Tribolium castaneum: one gene and its partner. The protein of the gene in region 1 interacts with the protein of each later gene in a pairwise test. Links are inferred from orthologs where the notes say so. Each region holds a gene or a part of one and is shown in the gene's direction. Other genes may lie near its edges.

Region 1 (4,383 bases):
TAAATTTTTTACATTCTAATGGCATACTAAGTTTTATCGCCCGCCAAAAACTAAGTACTTCTAGTTAGATAAGAACAAATATTTATTTTACATTTAATTTTCAAACGTTAATTTGTAGTTAATTTAAAAAAAAACGTATGTAGGACGGAAGTAACAATCGAACTAATTTTTGTTTCATTATTGGTATTTCACAAAAATTTAAATGTAAAATATTGAAACCAGCTCAGAAAACGAGCATTTATTTTTTTTTTCAAAAATCTAGGAAAGAGACTACCAAAATAATTTTAATGTTGAACTTATTTTAAATATAAATGAAAGTAATCATCTTGAAAGCCCTCTGGGTTTGCTTACTACATTTTCTCTAATGAAAAAATACATAATTCTTTTTTATTATTACACTTTCACTGTAACATACATTGTTTATTATTATTTCTCATTTCATTTTGAAAAAATATAAATTTTGTGTTAAATGGTTTAATAAAAATTGCGATAGAAAAATAGAAATAGAAATAGAAAAAGTATTTTTGTGTCACTTAAAGCGAAATGTCATAAACCAAATACGATGAAAATGTTTCAAATATTTTTACATAATAACGTTTCTCCCAGTTTTGAAGTGACCATTTTTAAATTTAAATAATTAAAAAGAGGACTACGTATTTGCTGTGCTATTTGATATTTTCCTTTTGTGTGTTCAAATCAATGTCATCTAGATTGACTTGAGAAAAAAAGAATTTGTGTCTTTATTTTTATTATTTTATTGTCACTATTAATAGGAAATATTTTTGATTATACAGTGTCTTGAAAAAAAAATGTATGATGTCATAATAATATTAATATTTATTATGCTCATTAGGATGCCTTTTTAGCTTCTACATGTCCCCAAAGTTTTTTTTGAAATTGGTTCAGGGATTACTGTTAAAAAAAATAAAAACCAAAAAAAATCAGTTTTACACCTTTATTTTTAAAAATTAATAAAAAATACAAACGGTGTTTTCTCGGTCACATTATTAGTACGTACGTCTTGAACAAGGTCTAACAGACGTAATTAATTAAGTGTGATTAATCTAATTATTACAGGGTGTTTACAATTTATTTTCAAACATCTTAAAGATTACAGCCTTTTATTTTGGTTATTTCAAATGGCAATCCCTGTTTATTTTTATACCATTCAATAGGGAATTAGAAAATTAACGTTTTTTCTTATTACTAATTATAATCTTTTACCAAAAAATTGTCATAGAGTGCCATTAAAAAAAAGAATAATTCAAAAACTAGCAGGAATTTCGAAAAAAAATATTCTTTAAAAATGATCATATTTTCAAAATAGTTGATGATTCACTAATTAATATAAACTACAGAAGCACGAATTAATTTTATCACTTACATACTGAAAAACCTGTAGAAACAAGATTTATCGTATTATTTATTTTTTATATTTATTTATTGAGGGAAAGTGCCCTATCTTGGTGTAAATAACTACGAGTTTTAGCGTAATTTTTGTGAATCGGATCTGGCTATAAATCTGTATTTAAATTTTATAATTGACCACCAGAGAGCGCAAAGGTTTTAACTGAAATCGCTTATCCGAATTTTATCTAATAGATCGATGAAATCGTCAAAATCAAACTACCAAAGAGCGGACAACAGCGAGGACATAGTAATGGCCAAACAGGCAGTCATGGAGTTACAAAACTTCATTAAAACAAAACCTAGTGACGAAAAAGCCATCAGTATGTTGCGCCATTACTTAATGACTGAAGATAAAACCAAGTAATAATTTAACCGGTTTGAAACTATTTACTTAATTCAATTAAAAATTTTAGTGCCTTGCATGTTTCCATCAAGCAGAATAAGCAAGCCGACGTGATATTTTTACTCAAAATGGTGTACGTTTGGAAACAGTACCATTTAACCAACATTTACAACGACCAGTGCGAGACCGCTCTTCACATCGCCACTTGTATGCATTTGGAGGAAATTGTTTCGAACTTAATCGTGTGTAAAGCGGACGCTTCAATCGGTGATTCCGACATGAACACTGCTCTACATCTCGCTGTCATAACTAACGCACCCACGCCCATTTTTGAGAAGTTACTATCGGGCGATCACGTCAAAAAATTCATAGATAATGAAAATAATGGTAATTTTTGTTTTGTTGCGTTTACGTTTTTGTGACTTGTGGTTCTAGAGGGCAACACTGCGCTTAATTTGGCGATCGAGAATTCCAACATGCGGGCCTTAAAATTACTGTTGATTCACGGTGCTGATATTAATAAGCAACACAAAAAGAACGGTTATACACCTCTCAGGTTTGCCATCGAGAAACAAAATCTTGATTTAGTTCGATATATTTTGCAACACGAGAAGCTCAATCCGATGATTGAGGATTTCAAGGACATTAACCCGTTACAGGCGGCCATGAAAAAGGATAATTCGGAACTGATTGATCTAATTACCGAATTTATGGTATTGTCCTTTTTTTGTATTTTTTGTTTGTATTTTAATTGTAACTGTAGCGCAAAAATAACTACGTTGATGTGGAAATTAAGAACGAAATCGAGGAATATTCCGACGAGGAAATTGAGGAGAAATACTCGGTGAAATTGGAGCAAATTTCCACCGAAGACTTGCACCAAATGTACGCTAAAGTAACAAATTTCACCCCCGAGTGTTTGGAGGAGATCTCGCGCATTTTAGATGAGTCCCAAACGTGGCAGAATTTGGCCGATTTGCTCGATTTGGGGCATTTGACACGTTCAGGACTCTGTGATTCGAAAAACAGCCCCACGAAGTTGTTACTAAAGGTGGCGATTGAGGTTTGTGGGGTTGCGCAATTTGGTTGGGAATTTAGGGTTTTTGTTGCAGACCAATGGCGACAGTGTCTTGCAAATTAGGGACTTCCTGGAGAATTTGGACGAGACGCGGGCGGTTGAAATTATTGACAATATGGTCAGGACGCAGTTTTGTTAGTTTCTACTATTAGTTTAGTTTGATCATGTCTTTGTATTAATTTCGTTCATTTTTATGTTAGAGAAATTTGTAATAAAGGTATTGTTCCACAATCGAGTGCACTTGACTCGGAAACCCCTCGGAAATAAAATTAACTAGACGCCCTCTGGAGGCGGTATATCGTACTTGCCGAAAACAGTAACGAAGTTTTCGTAATTACTCATTATTTACCAATTCTACGTGTATACTGTTAATTTCTTACATTAGAGTCAGTCAGTCTAAAAGTGTGGTGGTAAATACTGTGGTTTTTCGTGATTTTAAAGTGTTTTTTGTTGGTTTGAAAGTGGATAAAAAGTGAAAAAGTTTAATTTTTGATTACAATGGGTTATTAAAACAATTGCCTAATAAGACTAAGTATTCGATCATAGCGGATAGCGAACACATGTTGGGCTCAAAAAATCGACAAAAATTGAGACATCTACCGGGGAAATTGTAAATTACGGTTAATTTTGGAGATCAGAGGTCAAAGCAGTGATTAGATATCTATCTAATTCCTTAAGAAAACAACAATTACATAAAAAATTGCCACGTTGAAACATGGCTTCCGCAGCGTCTTTAATTAAATACACAAAGGTAAAAATCAATTACAATTAACTGGACTTATTTCGTCCGTTTCAGTTGTTTATAAACAACGAATTTGTGGACTCTGTGAGTAAAAAAACCTTCCCAACTCTGAACCCCACAAATGGGGCCAAAATCATCGACATTTCCGAGGGGGACAAGGTATATTAAGTCGAAATTTTTCGCTAAATCGGACGTTTTTCGTACTAATTCCAGGAAGACATTGACAAGGCGGTCCAAGCGGCTAAAGCAGCCTTTTCCAGAGGCGCCCCATGGCGCAAAATGGATGCCTCAACCCGAGGCAAACTCATAATCAAGGTTGCTAAAAAGGCGCCAAATTCAAACTTTGAACAATTGCTTGCAGCTCGCCGACTTGATCGAACGCGATATTAACACGCTCGCAAAGCTGGAAACCCTTGATAACGGCAAACCCTTATCAGACTCAACGCTCGATATCCAGTGCAGCATCGACGTCTTGCGCTACTATGGGGGCTATTGCGACAAAATCCACGGTAACACAATCCCCGCAGACGGCGATTGTCTCTCCCTCACCCGCAAGGAGCCGGTCGGCGTCGTGGGCCAGATCATCCCCTGGAACTACCCCATCATGATGCAGATCTGGAAATGGGGCCCCGCCCTGGCCGCTGGCTGCACCATGGTGCTGAAGCCGGCCGAGCAGACCCCCATCACGGCCCTCGCGTTGGCGGCCCTGGTCAAAGAGGCGGGGTTTCCCCCGGGGGTGGTGAACGTGGTCCCCGGGTACGGGCCCACGGCGGGGGCGGCCCTAGCCCTCCACAAAGACGTCAATAAAGT
Region 2 (5,319 bases), on another chromosome or scaffold:
ACTGCGACGTTCAGAAAGAGCTCAATTTCGAATTCATCAAGAATTTGTTGGTCCTTTTGTTGATTCACGGTCTCGATCCGAACGTTAGAGTTAGCATGCGGACGCAGCACATTCTGCAGTCGTGCATGGACATGATACAGAACGTGCGCGACTCGAAGGATATCCACTACGTCTACGACCTTACGCTTACTTTGGTACAATACGGGGCGAATCCCGACCTGAGCTTGAACATGTCCGAAGCAATAAAGAACCATCCGTTGCACCTCCAATCCATTTGGAAGACGAAAAACTACATCTTGTACTATTACATAATGCTTATATCGCGTAAAGAGAATCTCATAATGGACCCGAACATGAGCTTTTCGAAAATAATCATGTTATTTTATTTTATAATGCAACACAAGCCGCTATTCGAATGTCTGAAGATTTTGCACACTCAGCAGTTGAGTTTGGTACCGGGGAAAATGACTGAGCCGTTGACCTGTATTATTAGAGATTTATACAAAAGACCAAGAAGTCTGAAACAGATCTGCCGCGTTAAAATACACAACTGTCTCGGGCGCAGACCGGGACTCTACATTAACAAACTGAATCTGCCCAATCAGCTGAAAGATTATTTGTTGAACTTTGAACCGTAGATCAAGGTGACTCGAAGTCGTTCAGGATTTCTTCTAATATCGGTTTAGAATTAAGTGGCGATGTCTAAATGTGACCCTTAGCCCAGTGTTGAATATTGTTTCTTTCTCGCTCGAAATCATGAAAATACTCGTCGCAAGTCAATTATCAAAACGTATCATTGTTTGACTTGTTTCTGGCGCTAGCTGTGATATGTTAAAAAATCCTGGACGCGCTTCAGCCGTTGCTAGTTTTTAAGGGAGATAATATACTTGTGATTTCTTGTTAAAATTTCTAAATTCTAGTAATCGTAAGTGTTCAGTTGAACGGTACAATGGGGTCGACTAAAAGCAAGGATGTTGTAGAACTACGACTTATGATATCTTAATACGCTTTTGAGCTGTGTTCGTGTTGAACAGGGTTTTGTGCAGATTAGACAGTTTTTAAATGAACCACTCACATTGTTGTTTATTCCGTGCCTCTTACGTTTGAAACACACTGCACACAGACGTGTGCGAACGGTTTTTGGTTCCGTCACCGGTTTTTCTTTGACAATAATATTTAGCTTGGTTTGTTGTAGGAATCTGGCAAAGTCCTATGCTATACAAAATATCAGCTCTGTACATTTTAATATATATGCCAAATATTATTAAGAGCTAAGTATAATATATAAATTGGATAGTATATTTTATGTTAAGATTTAAGATTATGTGATTTTATTGTTGAGGCATATTGGTATCATATTTGGATAAAAAGTATTTAATAAAAAAATGTCTATATTACACGGATTTGCTTTCTTTCAGCCCTCAGTTAAGATTAGTATCTTTAAAAACTGATTATTTTTAAACACTGGACTTTATTTTTGCATAGTTTTTTTTTTGCCGAACGCACTTTTTTGATTCACTACCCCCTACCCCCAGGTGTTGCGCCACCACTGGCAAGAAACAAGTAACAATTCGGTTCTTTTCAAAGCAAAAGCAACAGTAACGTGCCTAAAAATGGCATAAGGTAGCAAGCGATTTCATGATACATTCGTTTTAGCCGTTGTTAGACGGAAATTTGCGTAATTGCCTTTAAATTAGCCCAATTAATTTTGAAAAAACGCGAAGATCTTTGGTCCCGGGAGATGTCGCCAGGGTACAAAGCATGCGCAGAGTCGCGCAAGCCAATGGTAACCGTATATTCATCACAGCCCACTCTGCCGTTCACAAAATGTCACTTCTCTTATTTCGTTTCGCCATATTGGTCGTTGGGTGCGCATGAAATCGTCGACCATTCCCCTTTCATGGACAAGTTTCGGGGTAAAAGTACCGCTGCATAAGTGTCCAAGTGCAATTTCGGTTTTGTACATAGCAAATTCGCGATAGCCTGTGAAACAAAGTTTGTTTTGTGTGTGAAGTGTTAGCGACAGAACTAAAAATGGCGTGCGCTACTCTGAAACGTTCCTTGGATTGGGAGCCCGTGCTGGGGGGCCGTCCGGCCAAACGCAGGCGCTGCATTCCCTTCTGCGAGAGCCCCACGCACAGAGACAGGGCTTCGCCTCCGGCCACCTCCTCCTCCCCCAAGCCCAAGTCCGTCTTTCCCGATGTCGTCAGCCAAAAATTGACCCCTGGTAAGTGGACAGGGCCGGCCTAAGGGCCTTTGCGGTTGTTGACACTCGGTCTCAGCTGATCGCCGATAAAGGAATGACGTCCGAGGGACTTTTTACAGGACCGATTTTAATTCCGTGTTAATTGCTTATCTTGCTCGAATTCGTTGGAGCATCGTGATTTTAGAAATTGAGGTTATCCGCTCGTGTTATCTCAACGTTTTTAGGTTATTTTTGCCGATTTAACCAAATCTGGGTGCGGGTATATTGATTTTGGAGCGGAGGGGAGCGAGGACATTAAATTTTATAATTGGGGCTTACAGGCTCTCACGCTTTGGATGCCTGGATTCGATTAGAGTTTTATGGGAAATTTCATGACCGATCGAGGAATACATAAATCTTCCATGATTTGAGTCATAATTTTTTCATAGCTAACTGTAATAATGAAAGATACTTAAGATTTTATTGTGATATTTAGAAGCTTGAAGATAAAACTTAAGTTGAGCTTGTACCAACATGACTTCCTAGATTGTGAGCCACGTTAAAAACGCACGTATTTTTTTGTCATTCTATTTCCACTTTTTTTGAGCCGACAAATTTCACTAAATAACGAAATTGGTGGTACGAGTATATTTTTTTAAGAGAAATGCCAGATCACAAAGGATTATCTTTTCAGCCCTCAGTTAAGATTAGTATCTTTAAAAACTGATTATTTTTAAACACTGGACATTTATTAACCTTTATTTTTGCATAGTTTTAGTTTTTTTTTGACGAACGTATTTTTTTGATTCACTACCTCCTACCCCCAGGAGTTGCGCCACCACTGGCAAGAAACAAATAACAATTCGGTTCTTTTCAAAGCAAAAGCAATTTATATTTTTTTAGGGGAAATGCCGGATTACAAAGGATTATCTTTTCACTAAAATAAACTTCAAACAACTTGACATCAAATAATTATTATTTTTCGTATTATTGGTAACATGGTGACTATTTTTAGAGTTAAAAAAAGTCTCTGTAGAAAGAATGTTGTACCATTTTTTTAATAAAATTTATTTTCATTACCTGTTTTATGTTAGAGCGTGCTTAAAAGCTTTTTTAATGAAGTCATTAAAGCTTATACATGTTCTCTTGAAAACAAAATATATTGACCTCATATTTTGTATCAGCTCGTAAAGCTCGTTTCAGACATGCTTGAACAAAATTTAATTTGTAACACAGTTACAAATTAAATTTTTCTATCATCTTGTTTGAATCACATATAAATGAAGTTATAAATTGTGTTAACACTTTTGTTAGTATGATTCTGATTTAGTTATTATCTTTATTAAATGCTGATGCGTACAATTTTTCGATTTTTTATATAGGATGGTAAAATAATCTAGTAATAAAACAAAAGTAAATACAACAATAATTTTATTAGAAACATTAATCGATTTGATTAGTATTTTCATTGTCATCATTCATTTACCTTTTTTGTTGTTGAACTGTTATAAAATAATTTGTGCCAAGAAAGATTAAACAAATAAACAATACGTTAATTGTTTTGTGTATGCGTAAGTATCTGAACATAATATGAAAATAAGGGGATAGGGGAAAACACCAGTTTTAAATTGAATCATTTTTGGAGGGAACGTAAAAATTTACAAGAATTATACTACTTAAAGTCAGCTTATTAGGAAGCATTACTACGAAAGAGATGTCAAAGACCTTTTCTGTGAAAATATTAAGTCGCAGGTATAAAGGTGCTGTTTGAAAATCAATGTGTTATGGAATGGTTTTCTTGTTTTTTTTTGTAATTAATTAATATATTGTTTTTTGAATGTATGATAATGTCTTAGGCTGAGCATAAACCTAACAATTGTTTAAAATTCAAAAAAACTATTTGTTGTTTTCTAAATTGTACTGGATTTCGAACTTTATATTTTATATCAGTTGCTACGGTTGAAATAAATCCATTGTAAACACACATTTTGTTGTTTTATTTATTTAAAATTTAAATAATAGTACGAAATATAAGTAATAATTTAGTAAATTTTAAAATTAAATACATATACAGTTTTGTTTGGATTTAAAGACCAATGATTTCGATGTTTTGTCCGAAATCTGACTTCCTGGAAAAATATTCCCATTTATCTTATCAGCATTATTTGAGAGTTTGGGTTTAGGATGCTTTTACTGCCCGTAATCTGGTAATTTTTCGAAGCACTTGGTAATGGTAGTTGGTCGTAAAGGGATAAGAGATGGGTAAAAGCTCATCCCGACTTAGAAGGACACCTGTGTCTAGATTCGCGGATAGTGACGTTGTGGCTGTGTCTCTAGGGTTTTTTCTGAAAATTTTACGGCTTTGTAAATTGAATTAAATGTGCCACTGCGTGACTGGTGGGTCATAAGCATAAAATGTTGCTTTGTTGTTGAAATTTATGTGTCTAATAACACGAAACAGGCGATGCTAATACGTTAAAATGTATGTAAATCCGGCAAAAGTGTCACCGCGTCCAGGCATCTGCAATCATAAATTACCAGCTAAAATGCATCGACTCGAAAAACAAGTTCAGTTATTTGGAAACTTTTCACTCGGATGTAGTCCAAATGCACACTCCAGAAGAAATTTGAACGGTACATCCGATATTTAAATTTACATTTTCATTAATAAAACTCGACGTGAATCCGCTATTCTAAATTGAAATTGATGAAGGAAAATGTTTTGTTTATCTAATAAATATTTGAATACATCCACCGTGGTGAAATGTTGCATAAGAAAGTGTTGCCTTTTGAATTGTAGATACGTACTTGACTCAAGTCGCAAGTTTAAATTTGAATAAAGAAAAAGATGCCCCGCATTATTTTACATACATAATTAACGACGGGTATAATTAGTACTTTTCTCTTGAATAACCTGGATTGTATAATTTGGGTTTCAAGTGTCGACCCAAGTCTTTTCAGTTTAAAATTTCAACAGTGAGAATTTTGAACCCGAATTTAAAAAATGTACTTGTCAGTCTTAATTTATGTGGGTCCAGGTTTTTACAATTTTATTTGGGGGCTTTGATATCCTACGCTACATTGATTTATAGGATCGTGTTTATCGATGGTGGGATAATAATTACTGATAAAAT

What was found.
Region 2: the proteins of Rel (region 1) and akirin interact in binary tests that used the Drosophila melanogaster proteins (3 or more experiments, as listed by UniProt). The link is inferred for Tribolium castaneum from reciprocal best matches to the Drosophila melanogaster genes Rel and akirin.

The regions. Positions count from the first base shown.
Region 1 is NC_087400.1:6,385,445-6,389,827, reverse strand, and holds the end of Rel (nuclear factor NF-kappa-B p110 subunit), read left to right. Parts: intron 1-1,602; coding exon 1,603-1,770; intron 1,771-1,823; coding exon 1,824-2,140; intron 2,141-2,188; coding exon 2,189-2,466; intron 2,467-2,516; coding exon 2,517-2,816; intron 2,817-2,865; coding exon 2,866-2,970; 3' UTR 2,971-3,062; downstream 3,063-4,383. Other genes in the region: aldehyde dehydrogenase 1A1, read left to right, coding at 3,547-3,582, 3,628-3,732, 3,787-3,888, 3,935-4,383. UniProt on the Drosophila melanogaster protein: Transcription factor that plays a key role in the humoral immune response as part of the peptidoglycan recognition protein (IMD) signaling pathway.
Region 2 is NC_087398.1:5,660,778-5,666,096, reverse strand, and holds the start of akirin (akirin), read left to right. Parts: upstream 1-1,789; 5' UTR 1,790-2,034; coding exon 2,035-2,227; intron 2,228-5,319. Other genes in the region: ankyrin-3, read left to right, coding at 1-638. UniProt on the Drosophila melanogaster protein: Molecular adapter that acts as a bridge between a variety of multiprotein complexes, and which is required for embryonic development and for normal innate immune response.